Oryzias latipes: one gene and its partners. The protein of the gene in region 3 interacts with the protein of the main gene of each other region in a biochemical or structural test. Links are inferred from orthologs where the notes say so. Each region holds a gene or a part of one and is shown on either strand. Other genes may lie near its edges.

Region 1 (6,776 bases), on a different chromosome or scaffold from region 3:
TGTGTTTGGTTTTTGTGTCTTTTTTTTGGTCTTTGTACAGATATGAAAAAATGATCAAACTCAGCGAGATAGTACTAACCAACATGAAATCATGGCATACCTATGAGCTGAACAGCTATTAGTTTTAATCAAACTCTTGTGAAAGTTACTGTTTTTCCACAAGCTTTTATATGTCTTCATTTACTAACATAATCAATAACAGGTCAGCTTGAAGCAGTATGTAGTAAACACAGTTATCTATCAAATTCACTAAAAGCATCATATCATTAAAACAATTTAAAATAGGTTACTTTACCGTGTACAGCAATAATTTTTATGGATGTTTACAGACCTTTGTTCACATTGGAACTGTTTAAGCGTCACATCTTGTACAACAAAAAAAAAAAAACCTTCAAAAGATGATTTAGCCATTAACTGTTTAAGAGAACTGGACCAAGCGAGTGTGACATCACCCATAGAGTGTGGCTTATACTTCCAGTTCCAAAGACCTTCGTCAATTCAGTCTGCAGTTCTTAACATCGCCGTGTTGGAACCAGAAATCGTTAATGAGCAGTAATCAGTCAGAGTCGGCCTGAGATAGCATTTTTATGGCAACCACTCTCCCCAATCAGGAGTGAGCTTGTTGGACGTCCACTCCTCTACCACTTGAAAGTGTGCTCTGGAGAATCAGTCAATCTAACTCTTGTTGTTTGACCACATGCTTTTATTGAGGCATCTGCTTGGTCAGTTTATAACTTGAATAAGTTGCACTTCCTGCGCTGCCAGGATGAATGCTTCAGTGCTGTCCTGTAGGCCAGGCCTTTCTAGCCATTGGTAGGACTTCTTGACATAAGCCACTTCCTTAATGGTCCAATGGGACATCCCATGTAGGGGCTTGTCCTCCCATGAGGATCTGTCCTATAGCACCGCATCCTCTGCTCCCCATTGCCTGAGACTTTCACAGAGCACACTGTCAATTGGGGCCTTGAGCTTGATGTATTCATGCATCTTGGATTTTTCATCCTGGATAGTGGTTTCCACGCTCAACAGTCCTCGGCTAACGGACATGGTGACCAGTACATTTACCAGCTTGTCTTGAAAAAAGTGTGCTTGATCAAACAAGGCTTGGGGTAAATTTGACTTCCTATTTTTCCTTCAGACCTTTTGACCACTTCCATCTTGTGGTACATTAAAGAACACCTGTCTTCCGTTAAAAGCAAATTCGAATGATGCCTGATACACTTTACACCTCAAATTCAGAACACACACACATACATACAGTAAAACAAAATGAAAAATGAATAAAAATTTTAAATCATACTTCCAGTTTCACTACTTTCTGGACACTTGCAAAGAGGCTTCCGATTTAGAAAATAAATCATATGGAACATGTCCATGTGTTTTTGTTTGTATCTTTTAATATTCAGTTAATATGTTGATATTTGGGTCATTCCAGAACTGGAGGACATTTGGGCTGCAAAATTCATGAAGAGCAAACTTTGACTTTTCTAATTCTCTGCTATATAATCGTCAATAAAAGGTAATATCTGTCAAAGGCTTGATTAACTTTGCTTACAGATCAACTGCGAAATATTTATGACATTATATTGATGATGACAAGACTTGATGCAACCTTGTTATCAATTTTTGCAAGTAACAGGGTTGCAAACATGTATTAATATTGACTTTCTCTCAGGAGTAGACGCTAGTTGTTTAGCTGTCACTGAGTACCAATAAGAAAATTAATGTGATTTCAATGGCATGCCTTTTTGCATTTCTGACCACCCCAGAATGAATGGTGATATCTTGTTTTTCTCAGTTGCTACTTTACATGCTAATTTGATTGCTTACTTACTCATAAAAAAGCAACAACAATAACAATAATTGTCTTACTCTGATTATAGGGAAACAGGGTTGCATGAGGCGGAGTGAGACATTCAATCTAGGATAACTATGTGTTAAAAATAAAAGATCCACGTAACTTTTGCTCTACCCATTCTTTTTGAATACTGTTTGATGATGTCAAGTCCAGCATATCACTCTTTGCTATATTCTAACCCTCTTACCTGTTATGGTAAAAGGAATTGTGTGGATTCGGTGGGAAACACATTGTATTGATCATAAATAATATTTGAAATACTTCTTTTATTTAAAAAAATCCCACGGTTACATAAAACACCAATCAAAACAAGATATACCAAAAACTGAATCTAAAATTTAATTTTAACTGCTTTTATTGAAGATTTAATTTGGACAATGGGGGACGGGACAAGAAAAAATGCATTTTAGGGGGTACATTGAGCTTATTTGGCATTTTTTAAATTATTTTCAGTAATTATTTTCACTTAGTTTTGCATGTGGATTATTTAAAATAGGTTTATTCTGAAATGACCCATTTTTTAATCCATCGCTGTGTGCGTGATTGACGGGATTTTAAAAGGTTTTAACCAATCGCCGCCCCCCAAACACCGGCCAATCAGCGCATGGAGGCGGGTCTTCTCACAAATCTTAACAAAATGGCGACTGTTGTTGTTTTGCCGCAGGGTCGGTAAATAAATTCTTTGAACGTATTGGATATTTTCTACATTATTTTGTGGAAGGAGTGCAGGAAAAAGCCAGTTACCACAAAGAGTTTACTCTTCGTGGGCTGCAATGAAAGGAAAGGAGCGGTCGCCGATTAAAAAACGGTCCCGGGCCTTGGACGACATTCGAGAGAGGGGAGGATGCCACCCGACCAGCAAGAAAATGGGGGCTCTCTCCGTTTCCAGTGGGAGTAATAATGGAAACAGTTCGTCCAAAAGCGACAGCGGCTCAACGAGACGGAGCTTGTTGGGTGAGAAAAGGGACAGAGATTTTGAGGGCCATAGTCGGACTGGAAATAATCACAGCTGTCAGTCTGCTGCTTCCAGCTCCGTGGGTAAAAACCACAACCTGAGCCTGTCGCTAGACCTAGCCTCCCCGCGAGCCTCTTCGCGCGCGGAGCAGCGTGTTCCGCCGCCCAGCACCGAGAGTGAGTACAAAACACTCAAAATCAGCGACCTTGGGAATCAGCTGAGCGAGGAGGATATAGAAGATGGGCTTTTTCATGAATTCAAAAAGTTTGGCGACGTGAGCGTCAAAATTAGTCGCAGCAACGACGAACGGATTGCTTTCGTTAACTTCAGGAAGCCGGAGGACGCCAGGGCTGCTAAACACGCCAGAGGCCGGCTCGTGCTCTACGACCGGCCGCTGAAGATCGAGGCCGTTTACACGAGCAGGAGGAGAAGCCGCTCCCCCGTGGAGAGGGACTTGTACAGCGCAGCACAAAGTCACAGACACTTGCAGAGACCCCTGTCGCCCACCGGCCTGGGTTACAGAGACTACCGGCTGCAGCAGCTGGCTTTGGGACGGCTCCCTCCTCCCCCTCCGCCCCCTCTGCCCAGAGAACTGGACCGGGACAGAGAGTTCGCCCTGTTTGAAGCCAGGGCACGTCCAGCTTTCCTTGCAGAGCGAGCAGCTTTTCGTGAAGAGGATTTAATATCTCCGGAAGACGACCAAAGAGCAAACAGGACTTTGTTTTTAGGCAACTTGGACATAAACATTGCAGAAGCAGACCTCAGGCGGGCTTTCGACAGGTTTGGAGTCATAACAGAGGTGGACATCAAGAGACCATCACGAGGACAGACCAGCACATATGGATTTCTTAAGTTTGAGAACCTTGACATGGCTCATCGTGCTAAGCTTAGCATGTCTGGAAAAATAGTGGGTCGCAACCCTATAAAAATCGGTTACGGAAAAGCAACACCCACGACCCGTTTGTGGGTCGGTGGACTTGGACCGTGGGTTCCTTTAGCTGCCCTGGCCAGAGAATTTGATCGCTTTGGCACTATAAGGACCATTGACTACAGAAAAGGTGACACTTGGGCCTACATCCAGTATGAAAGTTTAGATGCTGCTCAAGCAGCATGGACACACATGAGAGGCTTTCCGCTGGGAGGCCCAGAGAGAAGACTTCGGGTGGATTTCGCAGACACTGAGCACCGGTACCAGCAGCAGTTCTTGCAGCCTCTCCCTATTCCACCGTTTGACATGGTGGCTGACTCGTTTGTCCACCGCGCCACGCCTGAACCTCTGAGAGTCAGAGATCGGACTCCACCTCCACTTCACTTCAGGGACAGAGAACTCTTTCCAGCAACGGAGTGGCCCAACCCGGCCATTCGTGAGCGGGTCCGGGGATCCCCCTTTGAGCCTCTGGAACATTTGGAACGCGACCGGAGAACTCGAGAGCCTTGGTCTTTGGAGCGTGAGCTGCAAGGGCGAGAACCAGGACGTAAGAGACGCTTATTGGAGGATGGCCGTCACCTAGATCACTCTCCTGACAGCACTGAGAGGACAGTGAGACGTAGACGTTCTTCTCCAGATGGCAGTCCTGGGGGCAGCAGCAGAGACGGAGGACGTTTCAGTGACTCTGAGCATCCTGTGCACAGTGAAACGGCCTCACCAGCCAGAGAACATGTCATTAGCCTTGAAAGAGGTGGGGCGGATCGAAGGGTTAAAAGCCAGAGTCTTTCTGAGAAAGGACTCTCATCTGCTGGTGAGCGGAAACGCAAAGCGGGCGACAGTGGCAAAGTGCCTGCCAAGAGAGAACGCTCTGAAAGCAGCTCTAAAGGAGCCCAGCAATCCAAACCTGATGGCACCAAACTCATTGTGGCATGGCGCGGAATGCTGCTCCTGAAGAACAGCAACTTTCCAGCCAGCATGCATCTCCTAGAAGGTGACTACGGCGTCGCCAGCGACCTGCTCATCGACGGCTCAACCGGAAGGCAGGTGAGCGAGCTAAAGATCACGCAGCGTCTCCGTCTGGACCAGCCAAAGCTTGATGAGGTGTCTCGGCGCATCAAAGTCGCCGGTCCAGGCGGCTACGCCATCCTGTTGGCAGTTCCTGGAAGCACAGAGGACTCCTCTTCATCTGATCCTATGGCCTCAACCCAGCGGCCCCTTCGCAACCTGGTGTCCTACCTCAACCAAAAACAAGCAGCTGGGGTCATCAGTCTGCCTGTGGGAGGGAGCAGAGATAAAGACAACACAGGGGTTCTTCATGCTTTCCCCCCCTGTGATTTCTCTCAGCAATTCCTGGATTCCTCTGCAAAAGCTCTGGCAAAAAGCGAAGAAGACTATCTGGTCATGATTGTGGTTCGTGGAGCATCTTAAAAAAAAAAAAAGAGAAAAAGTCACAATGCACTATGTTCAAGTGGAATATAAGAAAAAACAAGTCTGCTGTTTGTCAGTAATTATTGCATGCTGTGTTCTGCATTGTGGGGTACACTAGTATGGTTCTTGAGTGTTTGTAAGGTGCCATGTAATTCACTAAAAAGACATATGGTGCCCTGCAACCAAACTAAAAGGTTCATCTTAAAAATATCAAGTGAGTATTTGAATTTGATCAGTCACAAATGCTTCATTACAAATTGATGATTTGGGGATTTATTAGTTAAAATTCAGATGTTCTGCAAGAATGAAAAACCTCAGAGTATTTACACAATAACTCGGTGATAAAAGAAGCCCAACATATAAAAATGACTTTATTTAATTTTTGCTTTTAGATCATTTTTTTTCTGATCCACTATGTTGCATTACCTCAGCCTGTGCTGATGGTGTTATTGTTGGTATTCTGAAAAAAACAGCAAACCCCCCCTTACCTTCACCTAAAGTGCAGTGAATTGTCAGCTCTTTCTGCTTTGAGTAAATTGTGAACTCAAGATACTTGAGGAAATGGAAATAAATGGTTCTATTAACTGTTATAGAATGGCAGTAACAAATATTTTTGTTGTAAAGGGAGAACAGATATTCCAATAAGGTTAAAACACATCACACAACTCTTCAATGGAACTACATCCGATAACTTAGCCGTGTTCTTTAGTTAAAATAACACCATTTCCGTTAAAAGTTTCAAAGAAAAAATGAGTTGTGCTCTGTGTTTGACCTCGGTTCCACAGTAGTTAATTGAAGGTCACCATTTGGTTAGAGTCCATGTATTTCAGCTGCAGTTTTGTGAACTTTTGCTGGGGGAGGGGTCAGGTTTTATTGAATCAAGTTCCTGAAATTTTTTGTTTTTTTTTTGCCGAAATGTAGCATAACTTGGGGATGCTAATATCTGTGTGTGGATAGCTGAACACTAACGTTTAAGCGGTGTTCCTGCCCAGGGAACAGCCCATAATATGCAAAACGAATGAATGCAAATACTTACATTGCAATTTTAGAATTTTATTCGTTTTAAAGCTTTTTTTTTAATTTAGTGCCCCCTTTTTTCCTCCACACATGGATGCTTGCAGAGTGAATAAGTTAAAGTACAGTTGAGCAGAAAAGCTGGAAGGTTTGGTGATTTGTGACAGTCCAAGACATTTACTTCCTGTAGACCCACAACAATCAAAATCCGTAACATGCTGTTATAGCGGGAGAAACCTGCTATTTTTTTTTTTTTTTTTACAGCAAGTAGATCCGTGCAGTTTTATGGTTTTAGATGTACATTAGCAGTAAATGTAAAATTTTAGAGCTCTTTAAGTATTTCTACTTATGCTTGCCAATATTTCCCCAAAGTCTGCTGACCCTATGAGCTCCAGTATGTTTGTCATGCAGTAGTTATTGTGTAAATGATAATTTGCTGACTTTGGTTTCATATGTACTGAAAACAATGTGTGGCAGACTTGTAGTACATGTGACCAGCAGACCCGCTTAAGGGTTGGACTCCCGTCAAACGAGCTGCAAGACTCTGCAGAAAGAAGCGGCGCCCTAGTGTTTGTGAGTCCTCGCTGACGAGG
Region 2 (6,397 bases), on a different chromosome or scaffold from region 3:
CTGAAGGAAACGACCCGAAAAGAAAGGAGTGATGTCAAAGAAACACATTTTTTCTTAAAATTTTATATAGTCACTATTTTTTATAGAAATATTCAAAATGTTGGGGTTCTGCATAAAAAATTAGTTATTTTCACTATAATGATGGAATTATTGTTTTTATTTTACACAAATTAGATTTTCATTGATTTCAAACTGATCAAATTAAAAAATAAACAAGTGTTGCAATGAATGACAACATGCAAAGTTTTAAAAAAAAAAGGAAGTTTAACAACTTATTGAGTCCAAGCCCCAAATTTTAAACTATGAAAATGTAAGGGAGAAAAACATGTATAATCCTTTAATCAGAAAGCTTGAAATAAAAAGGAACTCATTAAAAAAAAGAAGGTAAGGTTCTTCCGTTTTTTTTTTTAACACAAGCGATGCTAGAAAAAGTAAAAGAATTGACATCCACTAAAACAAAATTCTAACTTAAGCTCAAACCGTACATGGACCTTGAAGATTAAAACACTAAAAAACAAATCTGTTTCCTTTTTTGTTGGCTATGAAATGTGTGTTTGCTATATTATCTCTATTTTTTGTTTGTGGATCCATGAAGAAAGACTTTTTTAGTCATTTTAATAAAAATGTCAGTCATCATGGTGTCAGATAAGCCCCACTTTTTCTCTGAATTCTGACTTTTTGTTTTCCCTGGTTGATGTTTCGTCAGTTTTGATTATTTTATGCTTTTCTAGTCTTTGTTTTCCCCCTTCATTTGAATTCACTTCCACGTGCTTTTGAGCAATACAGCAATGAGGTGAACACCTAAGAGTTCTGTTAGCAAATGTTTCACTCACTGTGCTGGTTCAGCAGCATCCTGATGGATATTCTACTCATGTAAAACCGATCCAGAAAATACTGAACGTTCTGGCTGACGACTGGGTCGGTGCCGTAGGTTTCCTTATACTCCACGACGCCTTGAGCCATGGTGGGAATCACATCGTTGTGGCGGTTTCGGATTTTGATGACTGCATCTGTGAACCTGATCAAAAACCCGTTACAGGTTGAATGTGTAAAACCAGACTGTAGAACTGGTCCACTAGTAAAAACGACTCACTCATGTGTGACTTTTTCATTGTCTGCATTTTTGTCCTTGAATTTAAGGATGTCCTGGAAACTTTGCATATACCTAGGGATGGAAAATATCCATAAACGTGTGTGCAAACAGAAAACTCATAGGAAAATATTAATAAAAACAAAAGCACACCAGCTTTGGACCAAGCTAACTGATGAAGTTCTCAGCAGATTATCTGGCAGCAAATTAATTTCCTTCATGATGTTTGCCAGCCTCACAGGGAGCTCTTGTCTGAGGAAGGCGAAGGATGTTTTCTCACATGCATTTTCAGAACCTGAAGGAAGACAAAAACATGGAGGACTTTCAAAAATACTTTAAAGTATCCTTTAAAATTCCAACCATAAGCTAGAATACACACACATAGAGAGAGGGGGAGTAAATTACAACTATATTTAAAGCATCTAAAATTCATTTTACCAAAATCCAGAAACTGCTTCATGGATAAAGGCGAAGGAGAAAACTTTGAGTAATAGTCAATGTCCTTCCCGACCGCCACGCTCTTCCTCAGGAACCTTAAAAGCCTCATGTTGCTCTCCGGCCTCGACTTGATCAGATTTCAAACACACACGACACGTCCGAATTCTTATGGCGCACGCGGCCACAACAATAAATATGTGACGCTTGTTGACACACTAGCTTGTTGGCTAAACTCAGCAGTTCGCCCGCACGTTTGCGATTATCGACCGTGTTTCCACTTGGACTGAATTCCTGCTGCAGGCATGGTCACAGACGGACTAAAGCATCATCCCTCACTTCGGACGTCCTCTGTAAAATTCAGTCAAAAGTCAACACGGCAAACGCACCCACTCCGCAGCTGAGCTAGCAAGTTCAAAGAGTTGATTCGACGCCGAGAGAACAACGCAACTATTTTGCAGTAGTCTTTATAAAATAAAGATGACAACTTTTATGCAATTTAAATAGATTATTCTTCTGCTTTTATTTTATGGTGGTTGGAATACAACTTTTGGGATGTTCGCCACCTACAAATTGATCACTTTTGGTTCCTAACCCGCATATCAGATGGGTTAGATTAGACCGCTAAAAACACCACTAATGTAGAAAGTAATACATATTTGCGTGACAAATAAAATATATGTTGTTTTACTTTAAAGCGTTTAACAACAAAACGAATTTATATAATTTTAATTATTTAGCAAAATGCAAGAGGAATTATTAACATGTAGTTCATATCTACGACACTAAAAAGTGCGTTCTGTGCATCTCTTGTCCTCTATTAACTCTTTGACTGGTTGAAATGCCGTCGCTCTGATCCCCAGTGCTTGTCTGTAAGGTTAAAAAATAAAAACCAATCAAATGTCAGCATTTTTCATTTCGGCACAGTAATTTGGTGTTAAGGATGTCAATCTAAACTAGAGGGTGGGGCTTTTTCTCTGACAGACAGAATTGAGGGCAAAATTGCATGTTGAAAGTGGCGTCACTTCCTTTAGCTACAACAGAAAGTATGCTCAAAGAAACGTTTGGTCAGTTACCCACGTTTTTTTTAAAGATGCTTCGCTAGTATTATTATATTTACCGGCACAGTGAAAGAATTAGTTATTAGACTATGATTTAAAATATCCGTGGCTAACGTAAGAAGTCCTCTCATTAGACGGTTTTTCTTCGGTGAAGCTAGTTGAACCGGCAGCTCGTGCTAGCGACCCGCCAAAAACTGTGGTGAAAGATACCATTTTGTTCGTAAGCTGTAAAGTCATTTTGTTTTTATCAGAGGAAGAACATGAGTGGCGGATTCAACTTCGGGCAACCTTCGGGTTTTGCCTTCGGAGCGCAGAAGACCACAGCGGCCGCTCCGGCCCCGGGCTTCAGTTTAACGAACTCCACGGCTGCGGCTTCGGGAACGGGCTTCTCTTTTGGCACTCCGACTCAGAGTCAGACCAACGCCAACCCGACCGGTGGCTTCAGTTTTGGCGCACCGGCTAAGAACTCTTCCGCCGGCGGCACCGGCTTCTCCTTTGGCACACCCAACGCCGCCGCCGCCACCGGCACGTTCGGCCTGGCCACGACTACCCAAACCACCGCCGCCACTGGGTTGACCTTAGGCTCCTCGGCCGCTCCAGCTGCGGGGTCCGGCTTCACCCTGGGCGGGATGTTGTCTTCGCAGACGAACAGCGCCGCTCCAGCGGGAGGGGGCTTCAACTTTGGGGCTACCTCCCAGGCCCCACCCGCAGCGACAGTTGCACCTACAACAACCACCGCATCAGGTGGCATGGCTTTCGGAGGGTTCAGCTTCGGAGCGCCGAAAGTCCAGGTGACCTCAGCTGCAAGCACAACCATCGCAGCGGGGGGAGGAGGCTTCAGCTTCGGGACCCCTGCCCCCTCCACCCTCACCCAGCCAGCCCCAGCAGCTGCAGCTCCAGCAGCTCCAACCCAGGGTGGAGGGTTTAACTTCGGAATTAAACCCTCATCAACACCAGCTCCTCCCGCATCCACCCAGTCAGCCCCCACCCAGTCAGCCCCCACCCTAGGCCTGTCTCTGTTTGCGTCACCTATCATCACAACCTCTGCAGCAGCGCCAACTTCAGGTTTTACTTTGGGTGCAGCTCCAGCGTTGTCAACCAGCATGGCAGCATCCACAGCTGCAGGTACAGCTCCATCCTTCATGCTCAAGCCTCTGGGGTCCGTTGCCAGCACAGCAGCAAACACCGGCTCCACCACCACCACAACAACTGCAGCTGTCACAGCTAATGCCACCGCAGGCTTCACGCTGGGATTCAAACCTCCGACCATCTCAAGCTCCACAACAGCCTCCACAGCAACAGCCGTTACAACCACCACCACGGCCCCTCCGGTGATGACCTACGCCCAGCTGGAGGGTCTCATAAACAAGTGGAGTCTTGAACTTCAGGACCAAGAGAGGCATTTCTTACAGCAGGCAACTCAGGTCAACGCTTGGGACAGAATGCTGGTGGAGAACGGGGAAAAGATCACGTCTCTGCATAAGGAGATGGAGAAGGTGAAGCTGGACCAGAGAAGGCTCAACCAGGAGCTCGATTTCATTCTGTCCCAGCAGAAGGAGCTGGAGGACTTGCTTTGCCCTCTGGAAGAGACTGTGAAGGAGCAGAGCGGAACCATCTACATGCAGAACGCAGACGAGGAACGCGAAAGAACATACAAGCTCGCTGAGAACGTGGACGCCCAGCTGAAGAGGATGTCACAGGACCTGAAGGAGATCATTGAGCACCTGAACACATCCAGCGGGCCGGCAGACACCAGTGATCCAGTAAGATCTGAGCCTTTTTTTTTTAAATCATATTTCTCATAAAATCAAGTCTTCTGCTGTTTTAATCGCCTTCCTTTCTTTTTGAATCCTTTAGCTTCAGCAGATTTGCAAGATCCTGAATGCTCACATGGATTCGCTGCAGTGGATCGACCAGAACTCTGTCCTGCTGCACAGAAGAGTGGAGGAAGTGTCCAAACAGTGCGACACCCAGCGCAAAGAGCAGGAGAAGACCTTTCGTCTAACCTTTGACTGATTTGTTTTTTGGCTCAGTGCTTATTTTTCCCATTTTGCTTTGGATTTTCTCCTTTATTATACTTCTATTGTGTGTTGCAAAACTATTTTAAATGCAATCATCTTTATAATTGTATCTACCTGAATAGAATGATTAAAAACAAATTTTGAACTTTTTTGTGTTTTCACATCCTAATTTTACCTGTTTTTTATCTATATTTAGGATTGAAAAACATCTAATGACAAGATTTGTTTCTTGTTCTAAGACTGATGTTACCCCTTGTGCTATCTTAGATGACCCCACCCTTACATTGACGTGTTCTCCCTACCATGACAAAGGTGGAAAGATTTCATGTAATCCATGGACACCAGTGAAGATCACAAATCATTGAAGAAAAAAGGTTCAGCGCACTGTCTAGTGGGTCTAGATGACCCCACTCCCAATGTTAAAGTGCCTAGGATAGCACAAGGGTTAATACTTGCAAGGTGGATTTTCAATTAGGATGTTTTTGCTATGACACTCGTTTGAAGGGGAATTGACTTCAGCATTTGTTTGAGTTTTGTCAAAACAATGTTTTAAACTTAATTTACGGAGAAGCTGAAGATGTTTTTTTTTTTATATAGAAAAGGAAGATTCATTAGAAATAATTCTTTAAATTGTTTTATATATGACAAAAAGAAGCAGTTACACCCATAAAAACAGTCTTTTTAGCACATTCCCTTTGGATTGAATAAAAATAAAAACAATCCGATTCAGTGATGATCTAAAGTACAGTGGATGCTACCTGAACATCACAGCAGTGAGAGATTTCAACTTGACGGGAACACAGGCGATGAGTAAAATGACATCATTCCACAGTGATGGACTTGTACCTTTGCATAGATTTGACAACAATAGCATCTCAGCTGTAAACCTGTTATTACGAACCTTTGGCACCATGTTTTTTTTTATACAAAAATAAATACAAAATGTGCAGAAACCATAAAAAACAAACAGCACATAGAAAAATATATCTGTACAGTGTCAAAATTCAAGGTACTGAAACCAGTAAATCCTGGATTTACACATTAAAAATGATGTCAGCAGAATGATTGATTATTTATCGAACAAATGATCTCAGCTTTCAAGAGTAACTTTCACTGTCCATCCATGATGTCATCCACTGCTTCTTTTCAGTAACATCAGGTTTGAGTTTTGCATCTTCACGCTCGACACTCTCCTTCCTTATCCGCACCGCGTGGTACTGAGGAACGCTGTCGTCCTTCTGGGAGCGCTTGAAGAATCCGCACTGGTGACACAGGCAAAACATGAGATGAAACAGGAAGGCAGGTGTGGATCCTGACATTAAGCATGCTCTTGCTTAGCGTATTTTTGGAGTCCAAGCAGACAAAATGCTGACAGGCCGCGCATCGACAGAACTGTGCACAGGAAAAGCACCGAAATGTGGGCAAAATTCAGAGACACATGTGGCACCACTGGAAAGCATATTTTGTCAGTGGTTCATTCATGCTGGATTGTTTTTAAATGACTTCTATCGTGTGGTTAGTAAAATTTGAGTCCGGCTGAATTTGTCCCACATCACATCTGCAGATGGAGCAGAAAGGTAAACTCATGAGCAACTGCAAAAGCACGCTTCATGCTAACGTTACCCCCGTTCAGACAGAAAGTCAGGCCTCAGTGAGTGTTTCTTGTTCAGAAGGCTGTTGATGGATATCTGCCCTGTGACTGGCAGCCTCATATTGATCTTTATATGCTCTTTTGAAGAAACCGCACTGAGGAGGAGCAAGGGCAGTGGTTAGGAGCGATGCTCTATCAT
Region 3 (5,705 bases):
ACCGAGCTGATCCAAGCTCAGTCGTTCCTGCAAAAAGTGACCGAGGTAGTGTTGTAAAAGGTACCGACAGGCCCGCTTCTTGATTGAGCCAGACCAGGGGAAAAGCCAGCGAGACATAAGGCCAGAGAGAGCGGGGAGAGGGAGCGAAGAGGCGGCGAAAGAGAACGAGTGCGAGTACGGGCCTGTGGCAACTGCATAACAGACTCAAACAAAGTGGACAAATCAAGGAATGACCAGGAGCTAGCTTGAAGAAGCTAAGGAAGAGAGAAACCGTAACTTTAGTTTCCCCTTAGCCTTGTCGAAAAACTAGATAATCCTTCGTGTCGGGAACCCAAAGGCCTCCGGTGAAAGTTACGAGGCTTTACTCCAACCAACTCCAGCCGCCCCGAATCATGTTTTAGGCTCCTATGTGTGGAGCGACAGGTCCTAGTGGTGCGTATCTCTTCCTTCTGGGTTGTTTATTGTTATCATACGCCAACTGATGGTATGGTGGCGTACGTGCGTAAGACGTCACGATGACGAAAGAGAAAACCCGGAAGAGAAACGCCACTTTTGGCAAGAAATTCAAGATCATCAGTGCCCTTTGTGATAAAACGATATTAAAACAAAGAAACATATTTTTTTTTATGGTGGTTAATATATTTTTGGCGGAACGTATAGTACTTGCTTTAAAAAATACAATACCCCTTAATAACGTTTGATAACATTCAGTTTGGGTTTATAATCAAAGAAAATATTCAGTTCTTTAACAGGTGGATCATTTTAGGATTTTTTAAATTCATGAATGTTGCCTTATAAAACTGAATCCCAATTTATGTTAAAAATTCCATCAAATTTGGAAAACAAGACTCTTAGATTACATCTTAGATTATCTGTTTACGTAAATTACTGCCTTTCTTCTATTTTTCTTATTTCATTGTATTACTATTATTCAGTTTTTATTCTTTATTTTTCTTTTAGTTTTGCATTTTAACTTTGAATATGTCAATTAAAAATAAATATTATTGGTAATAAGCGGGTTTTTTTACATTGTACATTGTAATACAGCAAAGTTTCACAAAACGCGTTTAGAGAGCCTTTAGAGATTGATTTTTTTACATTTTGTCATGTATTCCTTTGCCTTGTATATTTTAGGAAGAATTCAAAAGAATACCCTTTACCACATAATTAGACATTTATGAGGGATCATTCAAAATACTTTCCAGTTAATATCAGAAACAAATTGTTTCAAATAAGATAATTGGTCGTAGCCTTTTGAGGGCAGTTGCTTCCCACAGGTGACTCAGTTGGATCTGATATTATGATTCCAGTAGGTAACAAATTTAACAGTATTAATGTTCCTGAGGATATGGCATCTAATAGCTCAGCCACCATTAGGATCCCATTCTGCATCCAAGTCTCTAAGTAATTCATTTCTAAATAAGATATGTTGTTCCAGATTATATACTTGTGTGGAGAACAGTTATGTTTGTAAATGAGGTTCCACGCCAAGTGGACCCACTTATGGTAGGGGCAATAAGCCTCTTTTCATGATATGAAATGCATCTTAAATTGAGTAATTCAATAACAATCCTCAGTTAAAAATGATAAGTAATGCTGTCACTCAAATGCCCAAAACAGGCTGAGAGTAATTTTATTAATTTAATTATCAGTGCAAACATCAATCACATCAATCCAACAGTTTGATTCGTAACCATTTAGTCAGACTGGATACGATTTTAACAATTCTCGTTTACATTTTTTTTTAATTTAATTATATATAATAAAATTGTCAATATTCTTAAATTCATTACCTTTGCCAATAGGATGTAAAACAGAATGCTTTGTATTAACTGCACTTGTGTCTTCTTTTTGTCTTGTGTTGTGGCTCACATGATTTTTTGTAAAAAAATGTATTAGCCATCTTTAAGATGTTTTTTTCTCCAAGTGTTTGCTCACAACTAAAGGGTAAGAACTACGGTACTTTGAAGAAAAAATTATGTAAAAAAAACAGATTGAGGTTAACTCTTTAAGCCATTTGTCAAGATCCATTTTATTTCTTAAAAAGGCAAAATGTTCAATTATTGGCTTCATTTTTATTTAAAAATGTACACTTGTGTCTATATTTATTGGCCATAAAGACAGGATACAACATCCAAACAGCAAAACCTGTCTAAACTGTTAACATGTGTTGCTGGTAAAACAAGAGTAACAAGTTCAATCTACCTTTCTTTCATTGGAACAAAAAGCCACAAAATAATTATAAAAAAATAAAATCAGAAGGTTTCATTTTACATATTTAGTTATTTTATGAAGGCAACATCTGGGATCTTGCCTTCCGCCTGTGGAGAGAAATAGAAAACGTTTTTTTAAACTGCAAAAAATAAGAAATAATTTTTTTTTTATTTTGAAAGACAATTTGTTACCTTTAACTGAGTGAAGATGTGTGCTGCTCTGTTGAAATCCCATTCATTGTCTTGTAGGCATCTGCAACAGAAGCGTTTAATGTTACACTGTTCAAATCTAATAGCAGTACAAGTGAAACAATTCCAAAAAGTGAAGGAATCCTACTTTTGTGACCATTCCAGGTTCATGCCAGACTCCTGTGAAAAGGCTGTGAGCATTTCTTGCTGTGGTGCAGTTAGGGTTGGGACGGGACTGGATGATGGAGTTGGGGCAGGGGCCACAAACGCTCTGCGGATCTCCTCTGTTGTTGCCATTCGTATGAAAAGCTGGTCATTGACGATGCACAAGCTGTCAAAGACGACACGTTTGACAAGAAATTTTTTTTTAATACCAGGGAAGACGACTGAAAATTGATTTTCCTTTGTTTAAAATTGCATTTTTAACACAATCTGTGAATGGCCATGCATGCTTTTTTAGGCCTGTTTTTTAGTAATAGTTATTTTATTTGTTATCAAATTTAACTTTTTTCCTATAATGACATCTACTATCTCATTATCACAAGAAAACAAGGTCTTTCATTTTATAACAAGATCACAAAATAGTTTTTCTCTTTAGCACAAGAAGACTGAATTTCAGTATGTAATGACCAAATACATTTCTGCTTGTAGGCGCGCCTCCACAACTGTAGCCGGGAAACTTTCTCCTCAAATGAAAATGACCGATTGGAACATTGTTTATGCCCAACAACATCAGCAGAATCTACACCCGAGTTAGGCCATAATAAAGTACCGTAATTATAAATTGATCAGTTCTTCTGGTGTTTAACATTTTCTCAAAACTAACAAATTTTTTTTCTTCTACAGATTGTAGGAAAATGTAAGAAGCACACTGCTCAAAAAAGAAAGGGAACACTTAACTCAAAGTCAATCACATGTCTGTGTAATCAAACTGCCCAATCAGGAAGCAACACTGACTAAGAATCAATTTCACATGTTTTACTGCAAGTGGAATAGACAACAGGTGGAAATAATAGGCCATTAGACACAATAGATATAGGAGTGGTTCTGCAAGCTGTGACCACAGACAACTTTACTGTCCTTATGTGTTCTGGCCGATGTTTTAGTGACTTAAATGCCAACAGTGTTGTCACTCCAGCAGTAACATGACACAGCATGTACCACTCACACGAGTGGGTGCAAACATTTTACAGAGAATGAAGATTTAGTCAAATACAGTTATTTCTGATTTGTGTAAACAGATAAAAAGGACATTTATGAATTTTTCTACAGAAAGGGAGAATTAGGCAGGCATCTGTTAAGAAACTTACCCAGAATTTCCTGCAGGGACTGTGATGAAGACCCTGGAGAACGCCATTGTGGATTCTCTGGACTTTCCATCAACAACAACTGAATAAAAAAAATATGAAACATCAGCCCCACAGTCTACTTTGGTGTCAGTTGAAATGCTGCCAAATTCCTGCACAAGTATATATCCTACCTTCTTTGAAGACTCCACCAATGGTAAATGACAGTAGTGTGTTCTGTAAAAAAAAAAAGTGCAATTTTTAAACAAGAGCAAGGACATCACAACTAGTTGGCCTAATTTGACAAGAACTTACTGTGCAAGTGTTGACATCAATAACAAAGGAGGCAATATCGTGTTGCGTCTTTGGAAGCTCGTTAAGGAACGCCACCACGTTTAGCCGTGTGTGCTTCAGCAGTCGAAAGCGCATCGCTAGAGAAGAGAAGTAAACGTCAATATGCATCACAGAGCATCTTATGGCGGGGAACACGTCTGGATGAAAACTCACTTGTGTCTTTGATTCTCTTAAGGTTTCGACTGTCTTTGTAATACTCCCCCAGACTGCTCCTAAATAGAGGATAAAGACAAACACTGTATTGGCAGTAAACACACAGATCATCTATTTCTACCACTGCATTTGAAACATAAATGTAACCACAGCCCACATTTTTAAATGGTTAATAAACTTCAAGAACTGGCCACGTCATTTACCTGGAGGGGTTCTGCGTGGAGTAAGGCGTGGTAATAGATAATGATGCACCATCATGATAGGCATCCAGAAGAGGTTGTCTGTTTCCCGAGTCGTATATACTGTAGTACCTGGAACAAAGTTTCTACAGTTACCCCGGGCCAGTAGAACTATGGAAAGACTATGGAGGTGATGTTCAGTTTGAGAAACTCACTGCTGCAAGAATCGCAGGATGATCACCTTTATTTCATCTGAGCCAAAGCAGCTACCCTGAGTACCAAATAAAAATTAAAGACATAGTACTTGGAGAGATAAAAAGTTCAAGTTTGATAAATCATAATTTTGAATTGACTGTTATTCTCACATCATCTACAAGCAAAGAAAAACAACCAACCGTCTATCTGATAGAACTACACACTGTCAATGAACTAACCTTGCAGGGTGGAATGGCAGTGGGTGTTTCAACATCAAACCCAATGGGCGGTGGGAGGTCCTGACCATCCTGGCATAAAAAATAAAAAGTCACAAAGAAAGTAATTAATTAACAGGAAACACTGTGCATTTGCATTTTATAATAGCGAGGAGATGTTTTTGATCCAAGCTCTTTTGTGATGGTTTCCTATTAAATTCAATATGGGTTAGCTTTAAATTAACCAAAAGGGTAGAAATGGTTTTAAAGAGGGTCAACTGTTATGTAGACATAAAAAAACAAAAAACAATTTGACCTACCAGTTTGAGGAGCCGGGGAAATCTCTGGCGTACAGCACTGGCACAAAGAAGAAGCAAAAAAAACAAACAAAAAAGGTTTCACTCCAAACCTTCTCAAACTCAAAGAAATTCACATAACCGCCAATGTCTTCACATCTTTGGTCTAATGTTCTTCGATTTTCAAACTTTTCAGCGAGGGCGATGACACAGAAATGAAACATGTTTTAAAAGGGCCAGGTGACCCCCCCCCCCCCTTTAGTGTTTATGTAAAAATGGGATATCATAATTTCTTCCCCTTCAGTTTCATTCTGTGCTTTCAAAATTTTCCATCCCAAAATGTACTTACCCACAGGTATACTCACCCTCTTCCCCCCACTATGGTGAAATACACAGATCTGACATGGAAGAGCAACACAAGAACAGCATACTCTAAAGAGCACACATACAGACATGCACATTTCTACCAGACTGAACCGGAAAGCCAGGATCCAAATCCAAGGTGAATTAGTCAAAATAACAAGGTTATGTAATGCTTGGAAGGGGGTGGGGGGGGTGGGGGGGGGGTACCGCCAGTCTCAAGTTATCCCCCCCCCCACTCTCCTGCCAAGATCTTGAAGAACAG
Region 4 (5,999 bases), on a different chromosome or scaffold from region 3:
AGAATGGCTCCTCTCCAGTTTGGCCAAACAACCCTTTGCCATTTCCGCCAATGGAGAACTTGTTCACATCCTTCCCTGCAGAGACAAAGAGAGTAAAACTAGGTGAAAATATGAGGGGAAAGAGCTGCCACGACACCACACAGCTGCACTGTTGGTTACCTTGAGACAATCCAGCACCTTGTGTTACAGATGAAAAACTGAAGCCCGTCGATCTGCAAAAGCAGCCAGGAAGTAAGAATGAAAAACATCTGTAGTACTGAGCAAAGGCAACAATACTGCTTTCCAATTGATAACACTTTCTAGGGATGTCCCCATCCTATCACAGATTATTAAATTAAATACTCAAATAACAGTCTGCATATCATGAATGGATCATAATGCTTTAAAACCCATTGGAATACGGCACTAGTTAGAGCAGGAAGCGCACAATACAGGTTGTTAAAGTAAGCAACATATTCAATGATTTGGATTTCTGGGCTCAATAACTCTTTCGATAAATGTTTAGAACTGACAGCAAGCGTCTCTATTGGTTTAACTTTTTTTTTTTTTTTTTTTTTTTTTTTTTTTTTTTTTTTTTTTTTTTTTTTTTTTTTTTTTAACTTGTCCTGTCCAACAGCTAGGCAAACAGATGAGAGCTGAGGGCCTCTTGTGTTGGACATATTTTATTCTAACAAGAGGGGTTATTCATCTTCAGACAAACCAAAGGTATGTCTGAATAAACCCCTTTTGTAATTGAGGCCAAACTTTATTAATTTCAATCATGTTTGAAAATCTTTGGTGTTGGACCGGACGGAAAAGGAAAGAGGGGAACAAGAGAGAGGGACGTTAGAGAGAGGGGGGGGTAGGAGGGTGATAATAGGAGGGGAAGGGGGGTAAGACCATGAAGCAGCATAGAGCAGACAGGTTTACTGGTTGTTTATCGTTACGGTACGGTTCAAATGTAGTACAAAAAGGGCGGGGCCTGTTCACACACACTCAAATATTATCAACACACCTGCTAGCCGCAGAAATGTCCACATGTCAACATGCACACAAAACAGATAGTGTTCACGAACGCATACCTATGCCTTTAAACCAACTAGTGTGAAATCTTTCATTCATTCAATCATGCAAACTATTAGTGCAAAGGTGAGCTAACACCTGTGCTCAGGTGAGTGTTTATGTTCTTCTAAAATGGATGGTGGAATGTGAAAAGAAGGAGGAGGAGCGCCCAGCCACCCCCACACCCATACCCCCGCCGCAGCAGCAGCGGCAGCCGGAATTCCCCCAGCGCCACACGGGAACAGGCAGGGAACAACCGCCCCCCGGGCGACCAAGACCGCCACCCAGGCCAGGGCCAGCAGGACCGCCGCAAGGCCCCCAGAGCCAGAGAGCAGGGAGGCGCGGAGGGAAAGAGAGCGCCGCCCCAGCCCAGCCAGGAAAGCAGCCCCCCGCCGCGCCGGAAGAGCCCAACGCAGGTTTATTGGTTTAACTTAATGCAAACAATGACCCACAAAGTCATTTCAACAGAAAAAATATCAGATTTTTTTTTTTTAAGAGAACAGCTCTCTCTATACTGCTGATAGAGACGGCAGTGGGGCGGCTGCCAAGGGACTGTCTACAAAGTGCAAACTCTGGTAAAAAGTTATTTCAAAAAAAGTTTTAAAACAAGCAAAATAAATAAACGATTTTATTGATGTGAGCTAAGCATGTTTATTTATCCTCAAGCTACGACAACGATTTTGGAAGAAAGTTGTCTATAATTTTTACAAATATTTTTAATGGAGATATGAATCACATAAAGCTTCAGTCACTAAACTTTCTCCCCTGACTAATCATCACCTTTTTCTTTTAATGCCATTTGTGTTAACTCACCCTGAGGTGAATGAGAAGGCCTTGCTGGTGTTTTGCTCAAGTGAACTAGGTGGACCCCCGGAAAGGTCTGTTTTGGATGGTTGGCCTTGAGGACAAAAACATTCATAACATGAGTAAGAAAACTGCTAAAAATCGGATTTGCTTTTACAAAGTCCTAACTAAAAATTAGGGTCATGTGTTTATGTGTAACCACAAAGAAATTGGTGCAGATGTTAGGTCTCTTGCATCAAAACAGATTTTATCTTACAACACTTACCAAAGACAAAGCCTGTCTGTGGAATAGATGCATTCTCTGTGGGTATCTTTTGCAGACCCGGTGTGTTCTGCAAAGACACACATTTACCGCTGCAGATTCAAACTCGTAATCACAAAGTCAGCACTTTTCAGCAGGTGGAAAGGAAAAAAACAAAACATTCACACAGTGTCCTTTTGCGTCCACATTTACGAACTTGAACTCGTCCTGGAACAGGACTCGAATGAGGTGGCTCTCCTGTCAGACTGCAGCAGATTGTAGCACAAATTCAGGAGGGACATGAGGTATTTCTCGCCTGTGCAGTGAAGGCCTGTCTTCAGATGCCAAACTGTCAGCAGTTCGTGAAATTTCACATGTTGAATGTTATTTAAAATTATGAGGAAATATATAATTTTAATATGTCTTATCTAATCTTTTTCTATGTAAAACATGACGCCATTTTTAAATAGGAAATTGAGTAAAATGTGCGACACTACAATGAAAAAGTGCATGTCTGAAAATTCATCCAAAAATCATCCATACAGACAAGAGTGACTTCAGTCACAATACCACAACTGTAAACAAAAGATTTGTAAATAAAAAGTTGACTGGCAACCGCCTGCAGAGTGATAGAAAGATCCAACTCACTCGTTTGACTTGGCTGCTAGAAACTGCTGTGAAGCCCTGGACTGAGGGATCTGGCGCCGAGGAGCTGCAGAAGATCAACAAGACGGGTGGGACAGTTATTAAACACAAAGAAAATATGAGACTGAACATGAAGTTCATGTTTATTTAATTTAAAAAATTGGCTGGCCACAAGACTTTTTAATCAAAATATGGCCTTGTTCTTCATCTTAATGTTATTTATAGATATTGCATTATTTTAGTGTATTTGTGTCCATCTTAAAAAATAACATGTTTATAAAAATCTAGCATTAAAGATAAATAGCTAAACATGCAGTTTTCAAAATACCCCCCCAAAAAAAAACAGGTGTGTGAGACAATCTAATGTTTAGTGGTATAACAGTTTTTCTAATATTAAACATTGTTTTTTTTAATTGATAAAATAATATGATGGTTTTTTTTATTATTGTTTTTGTATTATGTGGTGTATTATTGTATTGTATTGTATTATTGTCTCTTGAAAAAAAGAAGCTTTCTTTAAGGTAAGTTAAGCAGACAGAAACCCTCAGCATTCAATAGCAATCACTCCATCTTTTGACAGTTTTATTTTTTTTACTAAAAAAGCAGGATGTTTTTAAATCTTTTTTAAAATATTCTTGGTGTTGATAGATAATCATAATTGCAATTGGCTACTTTTCATGACACATGACACAAATAAAAAAAGTGAAGTTAGTGACTTTCCCCTCTTCTAAAAACAGTTCAGGGTTTGATTTTTTTTTTACCTGACCATAGAGGACACTGGCATAGGTGCCCCTTTGTCCTTAAGCTCCTGAACATTCACTACTTGAGGGACAGTTTTTAAGGTGGACTCTGTCAAAGAAGTGTTGACAACAGCTGGAAAAAAAGAAGAAAAATACAAAAATTAAAATAGAAGCATTTAGGAGTAAAATGTGAGTTTTTATTGTTGTAGCCTTGAGTATCAGAAGGCCAATTTAGGTTCAGTAAGTTTTCCTTCAGGACCATTATTTAGTGTTTCCTGAGGTTTTATTGATGGGAATTTTTCTTTTTTATATGTTGAGATTTGTCTCCCCCTTGTGGTTTAGATGTTGCAAAGCAACAAAAACTTGACTTGTGTGCACATTATTGAAGGGAAAAATCTACTTAGAAGTGAATTTTTGAGCTGATTGTTCCTCCTACCCGTCTTCTGATTGGCCATTTGTCTCCGCAGAGCCGCGGTGGCAGCAGCCTGCTGGGCAGAGATGGTCACAGGGATGCTCCGCTCTGCAGGTGGTGCTCCATGCTTTACCGTCTTTGTGGCAAGCGCAGTACTTTCAGCCCCGCTGAGGTTAATCCTATTTGTAGGAACTAAAATAAAACATTTTCAATGAAACAGTGTTTTTTAAAGTATTCTTTTGGCTGTGCTATGAGGAAATTTCATTTCAAATATATTATAAGCTTGATAGGTTGGAAAAAGGCCAAACATGTTTGATTTACTTACCAGGGTTGATAATGGGGCTTAGCACAAAGCCCATACCAGGAACAGGGTGCATCTTTGTTAGAGGGGTGGACTGTATAGCTCCAAAGCCTGGCTGAATGGAGGGCGTTCGAACAACAGTGGGGTGACGTGGGGTGGGAAGTGATTGGGTCATGGAATTCATAGGTGAAGGCTGCAGGGGCTGTAGTTCTTCCTCTTCCTCCAACTCCAAGTGAGATGGGAGAAGCTCTATAGACTGCGATAAGGAGGACGTTGAGCTCACATCATCCAAGTCCTCAAGGTTTTTAGGGGCCAGGAAGGCCGAGCGCGACAAGTTGGCTGGAAAACAATTAAGTCTTTAGAAACTTATTTACGGAACAAATTTGATTCAATTCAACTATGAAGGCACATATAACAGTACCTGGTGCAGTTGAACGCACAGGAGGCATTTTCCCTTTTGACAGGAAGTTGCGCAGTTGGGACTGTTTAAGAGGAGAAACCTTGACTGCTTGACAAACGCACCAAAATAAAAAACTTATTTAACTCAAATGAAATGAAGAATAGGTTCAAAAAATTAATTTTTGTGAAAATGTACTTCCACACCTGCTGATTTCACTTTTGTCTCAGGAGGAGTCGTTTCAAGCCGGGCTTTCAGAAGTGCCTCCTCCAAATTCTCCAGCTCACCTTTGTAGCTTTAATAAAACAGAAACATTTTATATTAAGTTGTGAAACTATGAATGCATTCCAAAAAAAAAATCCAGGGAATTCCAGCTTATTGAAGTAAAGATTTCTTTGAATCTGAGCCTTAAAATCATTATCTGAGGTGCTTCCAATCACAGCCTTTTTCACATTTATACACTTTTGAATTTGTCAAGTCCTCTCAGCCTAATGACAGCTCTTACTCATCTGATGTTGCTGCAGTGTTCTGGTTAATGGTAGGAGCAGTGGTTTTGCTGTAGAGCCGCAGAGCACTGAGCTCCTGAATCAGCTGATCCAGTCGGTTCTTCTGCTGGTTGATGATGCACAGGTTGTTGGACAATGTATTGAAAAGACCCTCACGTCCAGGCACGACCATGTGTCTGAAAAGAAAGGATTTATTTATTAAAAGTTGTTTACAGACGCATTCAGTTCCAGCTGAATAAGTGATCCTCCACACTCACTTTTGCTTTTTCTTTTTCTCCAGGTGTTTCTCCCATTCCACATCCAACACGTCGTTAACATCCTCCACAGCAAATTTAACGTACTGGTACAGCCTCCGAATCTCCTGACAACGGAACACACCATGACCAAAAGACTTTTATTTGTCTTAAAGAAACCTCAATAATTGGCATATGAAGTACAGTGGTCCCTCACTATAATTTTGGTACACCTTTCACTGCGGGATATATATATATATATATATATATATATATATATTTATTATTTTTTACAGCAACTAAATTTGCCAAATCTACATAAATCTTGATCGCAATCAGATCCTGTTTTCATTTTATAACAGTAGACTTGTTTTTCTATGAAGGCTTGAACTTTGAGAGTTTAAACAAGAAAGAAAGGAGTGAAAACATTCATGTCTGTCTGAGAAAAGTGTATGAAGGGTGTAGTGAGGGTTTTACTGCTTTAAAACATCTGTAATCGTACCTGTAAATACAACTCATCTGCTGCTTTATTCCTCACCTTGAGTTGCTCCTCACTTCTGGGATCCAGAGGTTTTTTGTACAACAGCTGTCTGTAGTTTTTATCTTTTCCCAGCTCGTTCTGCGTCTTGGCTTCTTCCGCCCCAGCAAAGCCCTCCAGTAATGTGGTCTTCAGCGTGCC
Region 5 (6,739 bases), on a different chromosome or scaffold from region 3:
GCTCAAACCGAGTTCGACACCCGGAAATTCACAACTGCCTGACATTTGCTTCTCTGCCCACTTAGGGCGGATAACTTTCTAACTAACAAACAGGATTAAGACTAATACTTAAGGATAACTATTATGGCCTTGCTAATGTATGATCTATAGATAAACTTCAAAGCAGCAGCACCGACTGTGATAAAAGTGCTTTTTTTGGTAAACAAGTATTTCCTTTCACTGAAAGTAAAAACGTCAGGTTGGCCATCTTTTATTTTTATATTCCTTAATTATTTGTGCGTACAACAATATATCAACCTTTACAATTCATAAACATTACTAAAATGTATGTTTTAAAGAGTTTAAGTTTAGTCCTACCGTTTTCTGCTTTTGCTGGCTGGGGCCGTCTCCTGTGAATGGGAGTGAAGTGAAGCGGAGGAAGACAATCTGAACAAGCTCCGACGGATTCTGACATCCGCTTAATGACTTTCAAAATAAAACTAAAATGTTTGTGTGTCATCACAACACAAATTTAATTATTTCACTATTTCTATCCCCACTTTAGGTGCATTGCATATTTGTATTAAATATTGATATTCTTTCATCATTGTAAAACTCAATGTGAATCTGTTAGTTTGAAATCTTCAATGATATTTTTTGAAAGAAAAAAAAAGCCTATTTGAATTGATTTCATGTAAAACAATAATTTAATAAATAATGTGTTCCATGTAGGTTTATTACTTTTGCTGAAACTCCACATTGAAAGTTAAACCTACTTTCAACATATTTTATTTGCTTTAAATACAAAAAATTTAAGTTAAAAATAAACCTATTTTATCAAAGCGTTTTTAAGTAGTGTCTGAGTTTTTAGGGTTAGCCACCTTTACCAGAATTTTCTGTAGACAACCAGTCTCAAACAGACATTAACAAAATTCCTTACAACAAAGGTAGCAAACACAGGTAGTATCTTGTTTTCAGTTAAATTAACCGGAAGCTGAAGGAAAAAAAAAAAAGAGCCTTTTATGGAACACTTCCGGAAAGTGTGGTGGAAGGTGCAGCTTTTCCGAGTTCAGTTATCTTCCCTATTAGATTAACTTATTCCTTCTTTTAGCGTCCCATAAAAAGTTACGTACACCTACAGTTTCATGTGTGCACTTTCATCATCAACTGAGAGGCGAAGAAAGGAAACCGCCACAAAAGCAAATTTCAGAACATAACCCATCAAATTTGAACAAGGGCGACATCTAGTGGCTGAACTCTTGAAAATATAGAATGCATTGAAAAGTATTTAACCCCCAGGGTAAAGCAGGTCATAGCAGATATGAATTTGATCTTTAACTGCTTGAAATACAATTGGACAATGTAATTTACAAACATTTAATAATTTTATTAGCCTATGCATTTTAAAAAGTAGTAAAAGCTTTCATGTAAATACAACCAGCATATTTCCACCTTAGACTGGTTTTAGTAAAAAATAAAGCAAAACAACAATGACCCATTGCTTATTTAATATATACTGCAGGTTTTTATTACAAGTTCCATTCACTACAGGGTTGGGAGAAACTGAGAAAACTCCACCCAGCAGTTAACCTACAGTAAAACCATTCGATCAAAAAAAAAAAAAAAATTAAAACAAAAATAAAACACTTGGTAAAAAACACTTTGGAGTATTTAAAAGAAGAGGTTGGAACAATTTCAATCACATCAGAAGACAAGTGTAAAATATTCTGCACATCTGTAACAAGCACCCCTTTCTGTGCAGACAGGGAGGGATGACGTCAACTAGGATGGGAGGTTTCCTTAACTGGTATCCATCTGAGAAAACAAGAGGTGAAACAGAATTAGGACAGCTGCAAAACAACTTCAACAGAAGATGCTTTCTATTTTGACAGATGTACCCTGGCATTGTAAGCATCTAACTGGGCGTCAAGCTCTTCTGCCGATAGCGGTTGCTTGGGGGCACCGCCGCGCCCCCCCCGCCCTCTTCCTCTGGGACCACCTGCACCACGGACCCCTCGGCCTCTTTGCATCCCTCCGAAACCCCGATTTCTACTCATGCCTCCACCACCTCTGTTCATACTGGTAAAACAAAACAAATACACAAAGAAAATGTAATTGGGGTTTACACAACAGCCTGTTTCCAGTTTCCCAAGAATCCATGCTTACTTACCCCTGCATAGGCCGCCTCTGTGTGTCGATCTGTGATGTGACGAGCTGAATGTTCATAGGCCGCCCTAAACACAAATTAGGCTTTAATCTTGGGAAGATCAACTAATATTTAAATGTATTTATCTAATTAAATAAATCTGTAATAAAGTAGAAGAATACCATCAAGAGGAATGCCATTGTACTGTTTCATGGCTTTCAGGGCATCTGCCCTCCTTTCAAAGTGGACATCTGCCGTTCCAAGGCTTCTTCCTGATCTGTCGTAATGAACTGCAGCTTTCTTTAGAGTCCCAAATTCAGCAAAGAGTTCCTTCGATAAAAAAAAAAAAAGTCAAAACTAAGTCATCAATTAAAAAAAAAAAACATCACCATCAGATATGCTAGCTAAGTTGTACCTGGATGTCTGCGTCTGACACCCCAAAGTCCAGATTGGAGACGAGGAGCTTTCCTCCCGTTTCCACACCAGCTCCTCCGCCACCTCCAGCAGCCCCATTGAAGCCGCTGAAGCCGTTGTCAAACATGTCGTGCTGCCATTTATCGGGAAGCTGTTTGGGCTGCAACAGACGAAAGAGAACGCACCTGCTGACTTCAGGATCCCCTGCCTCTGTCTTTCACAGAGTCCACACGGCTGGGTGTTGGTGCAAGCAGGTGCTCCACTTCCAACACGGCCAGGGTGCTCAGCAGACCCCCCCATGATCCCTGCCCACCCCATCGTTACAATCACGTGAATCACTTCAGACAGAAATACACAAATTTAAAAATAGCTATTTTGGTGTTTTGATACAGAAAATTTCAATGTTTTACTACTTGTAAAGTAAGACAAAAAGCTGACAGATATTTAAACTAATCATTTTCATACATTAACTTTAAAAAATCTTTACATGAACCAAAAATCCGCCCCAAACTAGCTAGCATAACCCCGTCGTTTCTTGCCATCTGCTACTCCACCAACTGCTCTGTCTGTCGACATGCTCCTCAGGCACACGAGGGGGGGTCCCCGGCAGAAGCAGCCTCGCATCCCGCGTTGCGCCGCTTGTCCAGGCTCACAACAGTCCTTTGTCAGGCCACAATTCGACTTTCATGAAGAAATGTCTTTAGGATGTTACAGGTGAAGAACATTTTGGGGGGAAAGAAGCCGATAGCCCCCTTTTTAGTGCGTGGAGTACGCGGACGTCCATTTTGAAACCACGCCATTTTGATCGGGGCTTTGTTTGGGTTGCATTTATATTCATTCACACCCCAGGAGTGAAGATTGGGCTTCTTTTTACAAAAAAAAAAAAAAAAATAAAGGAAATTTGAGGGGATTAAGTATGAGTCCACGTATCCATCCATATGTGACATTTGGTGAAAAGCCTTTTGGGTGGGATTTTAAGAAACCCCGTCAGCCATTCCTGGGACAAAAGGCCGCCTTGAAGATGTAGCAGGACGTTGGAAGGAATGTGATTCCGTAGCAATGGAAAAAACGTGCAGGAACCTTCTCAGCGATGTAGGCATCCTTTTCTTTCCAGACCATTACGACACTTGGGGTAAAACATCATTTTGACGCCAAATTGTATTCGAGGTTGTTGGATTCAAAATGGCGCTGAGACCTTCACGATCCGGCAGGTTAGCCAATGTGGCTAACATAGTCGCTCCTCAAGCAGCTTCTTCTTGAAAAGTGGTGCGACACATATAGGTTGTGGGAGAAGGGACATATTATGCAAACAACCTCCATTTATGCTTATCCACAAACTATAGAGCTCTCCTCTAAGGGAAACTCAGCGGTAAGCAACCATTTTAATGGCTTGACTAGCTAGGTGATTAGCCGTCAAGCCAAATGGAGAAAAGAAGACGTAAACCAGGAATTTTCAGCTTTGACGAAGGTTTTTTTCCTTCCAATGCCCATTCGTCTAACTTTCTCATACCCTGCTATAAGGCGTTGGTCTGCCTCTAGCGCGGCTCAGGTTCTGTCGGGTCCTCATGGGGCCTGATCCTCCGCCTCGGCCTCCAAATCCGCCGCCGCCACCACCAAGACGCCCAAGGCCTCCTCCACGGGCACCGCCTGAGCCTCCGCGGCCTCGGCCTCTTCCCCCACGGGCTCCGCCTCTACTCTGCCTGTTCAGCTTGATAATGTCGTCTAGAGACATATCCATCTTATCCGCCATTATGCTGCCCCGATAACTCTAAAGCACTGTAAAGATTTAAATTGTCTTAAAACACCCTGGACTAAGCTGTTCCCTCTCTTCGTCCGTAGATTTACGCTCTCTGGTCCAAGTACTAAGCACAATGAAAAGCGCCCACAAGCTGTAGAAAAGCTGATTGGTTGGAGAACACGTACTCTTGACGTCATTACGTTAAAAACTACAACAACTCTTTACCGCCCTCTACTGGAAACTAAAACATTATTCCTAAAAAACGCCATACATGGGTGTGTTCAGTTCATAGTAACACTAAAAGAAGCAATCAAAGCATTAAATCAAACACTTTTAACTATATCTCTATAACGAAACTGAATAACATAAAAAAAAATACTTTTAGACTTTAAATTACATTGAAAACAAATAGGCTAAGGCACTTCTTTAAACAAACAAAAATGTGGTTTCATATTTCAAATGAAATTTGTATTGAATTGATTTTTTATTTAGATGTGACTATGACCTAAAGAAAACTTTCTTAGTTTGATCAAGAAACGTTATTATAATGAATGCTTAAATTGGACAACACCCTGAACTCTCAATATGCATATTATAAATACAAATTGGATCTCTTTTTGATGAGACACGTCAGCAAATCTGCTAAGAAGTTGAAATTAATTTGATCTCAAAAGATTAATTTTGCATAAAAAGATAGCAATTCAAAGTATTATTCAAAATTTTGCTCTTCTTCATACTACAATAAGGATTAAAAAAGCACCCTGCACGAGAATGCATGATTGTATTCTTCCTTCACATTCATTTGAAATATGTAAATAACAAATATAAATGCAACTCTATTGTTTTGATTTGAAGGTAGTAGTATTTTTAAGACCAACAACTTCTTCACCTAATTAGAAAACAAACAAAAAAGAAAGTTTCCCTCTTGTTCTTTTATTGAAACCTTTCCTACATTGATTGTTTCTGAGCTACATGGCTCTGTTTGTCTGTAAACTCTACCTCTGTTAATTGCACGTTATTATAAAGAAATAACAAAAAACTGGTATTGCTGTTATTAATAAAAAAAGCAAAAGAATTACTTTCCTAATAATTGTGGGTGTAAAAAAAGTGAAAATCAAAGATATAATCAATCTGTAAAGCTAAACTACAAATACAGTTATGTATATTTAAAAATAGCTGAATTTTAGTGGGGTGGGGGATATACTGGGGAGTTTTTAACCTCTTATTTATGATCGTTTTCCATACTTTTAGCTAACGTTTGTTCCGAGGAAAAAAACAGCCTAACACTGATTACTGTTCATTGTATTATAACAAACATACATGAGTGTCAAACCAAGCAGAAGTTCTGTAAAAGTCTTTTATTCAACATTTTGCTTCCAAGGCTTAGAGGAAGGAGATAAGAGCTGCATTCCTGCATTCACTACTCAACAATGTCCATCCCAGGGCAAGAAAAATGTATAATAATAATAATAATAATAAAAAAAATGTTGGCCTTCCACATTGTATTTTGGTTTCCAAAACAAGCCCACTAAGAGGATATCCATTGAGATCATTCTACTGTTTATCAATTGGTTTTCCAAAAAATAAAAACAGAAGTCAGCCCTTTCATATTTTCTTTCAAAGTCATCAGGGTACATTTGGTAGTAGAGGGTTTAAGTCTTGTGTCCTCGTTTTTTGTGCCTTAACCACAAAACCTTCATTGAAACTTTTGATGAAAACTGTGAACTAAAAATGCAGAGAAAGTGGGAAGAATCTGAACTCCCTGAAATCCAAATCCTTTTGGTTCTTGTTGAGGATTTAAAAAAAAAAAGGGGGGGGGGGCAGAGGTTGCTTTAGTCCAGAGTAGAGATTCGATTTGCATTCTGGGTTAGATTGGCCAATGGGTCAAACGTTCTTGCTGACAGCGGGCTGATAAATCAAAAGTTCTTTACAATAATGGGTGGAGAAAAAAAAAAAGCAAGTGGATCATCATAGAAAAGACTAAGATTTCTTAGAGTCCTGTGTGTTGCGCTTTTTAAGATCACTCAGGTCCACTGGTGTAAATGCTGCAAAACCAAACAGAAACACAAGTGTCATTTAAAAAATGTCCTAAATCAACATAAAGATCTCTTGGCTTAATGTCTCTGTAACTTACAATGTAGATTAGGGTTAGGGTTCTTCTCCACATACTCCTGCGGCCCGCGGTCGTTACGCTCACTGTTTTGCGTTGATCGGATGTCTCTGAGCACACACTGCCAGGCTGAGAAGGAATAAAGGTGAGAAGGACGGCAAGTGGTTGAGGTGCTGTTCACCAACAGTTAAAAGGTCAAATCCCACCATAGATGTTTCATTCAATGGATGTCAGATGTATTTTAGTAACAATTCAGTCCTGTGGGTAGTAGATGGGAACAAATTCTAAAGCTGTTTATTAACTCCATAACACACACCTATTTAAGTTACATTCAAGAATATTTTATGGAGTA

Evidence for each region.
Region 1: the proteins of nxf1 (region 3) and rbm15 form a complex in vitro, tested with the Homo sapiens proteins (2 studies listed by BioGRID). The link is inferred for Oryzias latipes from reciprocal best matches to the Homo sapiens genes NXF1 and RBM15.
Region 2: the proteins of nxf1 (region 3) and nup62 form a complex in vitro, tested with the Homo sapiens proteins (3 studies listed by BioGRID and IntAct). The link is inferred for Oryzias latipes from reciprocal best matches to the Homo sapiens genes NXF1 and NUP62.
Region 4: the proteins of nxf1 (region 3) and nup214 form a complex in vitro, tested with the Homo sapiens proteins (4 studies listed by BioGRID and IntAct). The link is inferred for Oryzias latipes from reciprocal best matches to the Homo sapiens genes NXF1 and NUP214.
Region 5: the proteins of nxf1 (region 3) and THO complex subunit 4 form a complex in vitro, tested with the Homo sapiens proteins (2 studies listed by BioGRID and IntAct). The link is inferred for Oryzias latipes from reciprocal best matches to the Homo sapiens genes NXF1 and ALYREF.

Annotation. Positions count from the first base shown.
Region 1 is NC_019865.2:10,858,659-10,865,434, forward strand, and holds the start of rbm15 (putative RNA-binding protein 15), read left to right. Parts: upstream 1-2,467; 5' UTR 2,468-2,631; coding exon 2,632-5,169; 3' UTR 5,170-6,776. UniProt on the Homo sapiens protein: RNA-binding protein that acts as a key regulator of N6-methyladenosine (m6A) methylation of RNAs, thereby regulating different processes, such as hematopoietic cell homeostasis, alternative splicing of mRNAs and X chromosome inactivation mediated by Xist RNA.
Region 2 is NC_019879.2:22,072,715-22,079,111, reverse strand, and holds nup62 (nuclear pore glycoprotein p62), read left to right. Parts: upstream 1-2,530; 5' UTR 2,531-2,846; coding exon 2,847-4,349; intron 4,350-4,443; coding exon 4,444-4,602; 3' UTR 4,603-4,756; downstream 4,757-6,397. Other genes in the region: pdk1 (pyruvate dehydrogenase (acetyl-transferring) kinase isozyme 1, mitochondrial), read right to left, coding at 834-1,018, 1,094-1,165, 1,244-1,385, 1,529-1,637; itga6 (integrin alpha-6), read right to left, coding at 5,705-5,869. UniProt on the Homo sapiens protein: Essential component of the nuclear pore complex. The N-terminal is probably involved in nucleocytoplasmic transport.
Region 3 is NC_019868.2:11,991,778-11,997,482, forward strand, and holds the end of nxf1 (nuclear RNA export factor 1), read right to left. Parts: intron 5,142-5,705; coding exon 5,105-5,141; intron 4,878-5,104; coding exon 4,809-4,877; intron 4,646-4,808; coding exon 4,590-4,645; intron 4,507-4,589; coding exon 4,399-4,506; intron 4,255-4,398; coding exon 4,196-4,254; intron 4,120-4,195; coding exon 4,004-4,119; intron 3,926-4,003; coding exon 3,883-3,925; intron 3,792-3,882; coding exon 3,713-3,791; intron 2,734-3,712; coding exon 2,551-2,733; intron 2,467-2,550; coding exon 2,406-2,466; intron 2,322-2,405; coding exon 2,283-2,321; 3' UTR 2,006-2,282; downstream 1-2,005. Other genes in the region: atg2a (autophagy-related protein 2 homolog A), read right to left, coding at 1-117.
Region 4 is NC_019870.2:10,686,322-10,692,320, forward strand, and holds part of nup214 (nuclear pore complex protein Nup214), read right to left. Parts: coding exon 5,859-5,999; intron 5,449-5,858; coding exon 5,345-5,448; intron 5,264-5,344; coding exon 5,087-5,263; intron 4,877-5,086; coding exon 4,788-4,876; intron 4,693-4,787; coding exon 4,606-4,692; intron 4,524-4,605; coding exon 4,209-4,523; intron 4,076-4,208; coding exon 3,908-4,075; intron 3,605-3,907; coding exon 3,493-3,604; intron 2,799-3,492; coding exon 2,735-2,798; intron 2,178-2,734; coding exon 2,111-2,177; intron 1,940-2,110; coding exon 1,855-1,939; intron 213-1,854; coding exon 160-212; intron 76-159; coding exon 1-75. UniProt on the Homo sapiens protein: Part of the nuclear pore complex. Has a critical role in nucleocytoplasmic transport.
Region 5 is NC_019866.2:15,368,201-15,374,939, forward strand, and holds THO complex subunit 4, read right to left. Parts: upstream 4,437-6,739; 5' UTR 4,290-4,436; coding exon 4,050-4,289; intron 2,700-4,049; coding exon 2,541-2,699; intron 2,456-2,540; coding exon 2,308-2,455; intron 2,214-2,307; coding exon 2,150-2,213; intron 2,059-2,149; coding exon 1,878-2,058; intron 1,795-1,877; coding exon 1,780-1,794; 3' UTR 1,471-1,779; downstream 1-1,470. Other genes in the region: mcrip1 (mapk-regulated corepressor-interacting protein 1), read right to left, coding at 6,258-6,322, 6,412-6,516. UniProt on the Homo sapiens protein: Functions as an mRNA export adapter; component of the transcription/export (TREX) complex which is thought to couple mRNA transcription, processing and nuclear export, and specifically associates with spliced mRNA and not with unspliced pre-mRNA.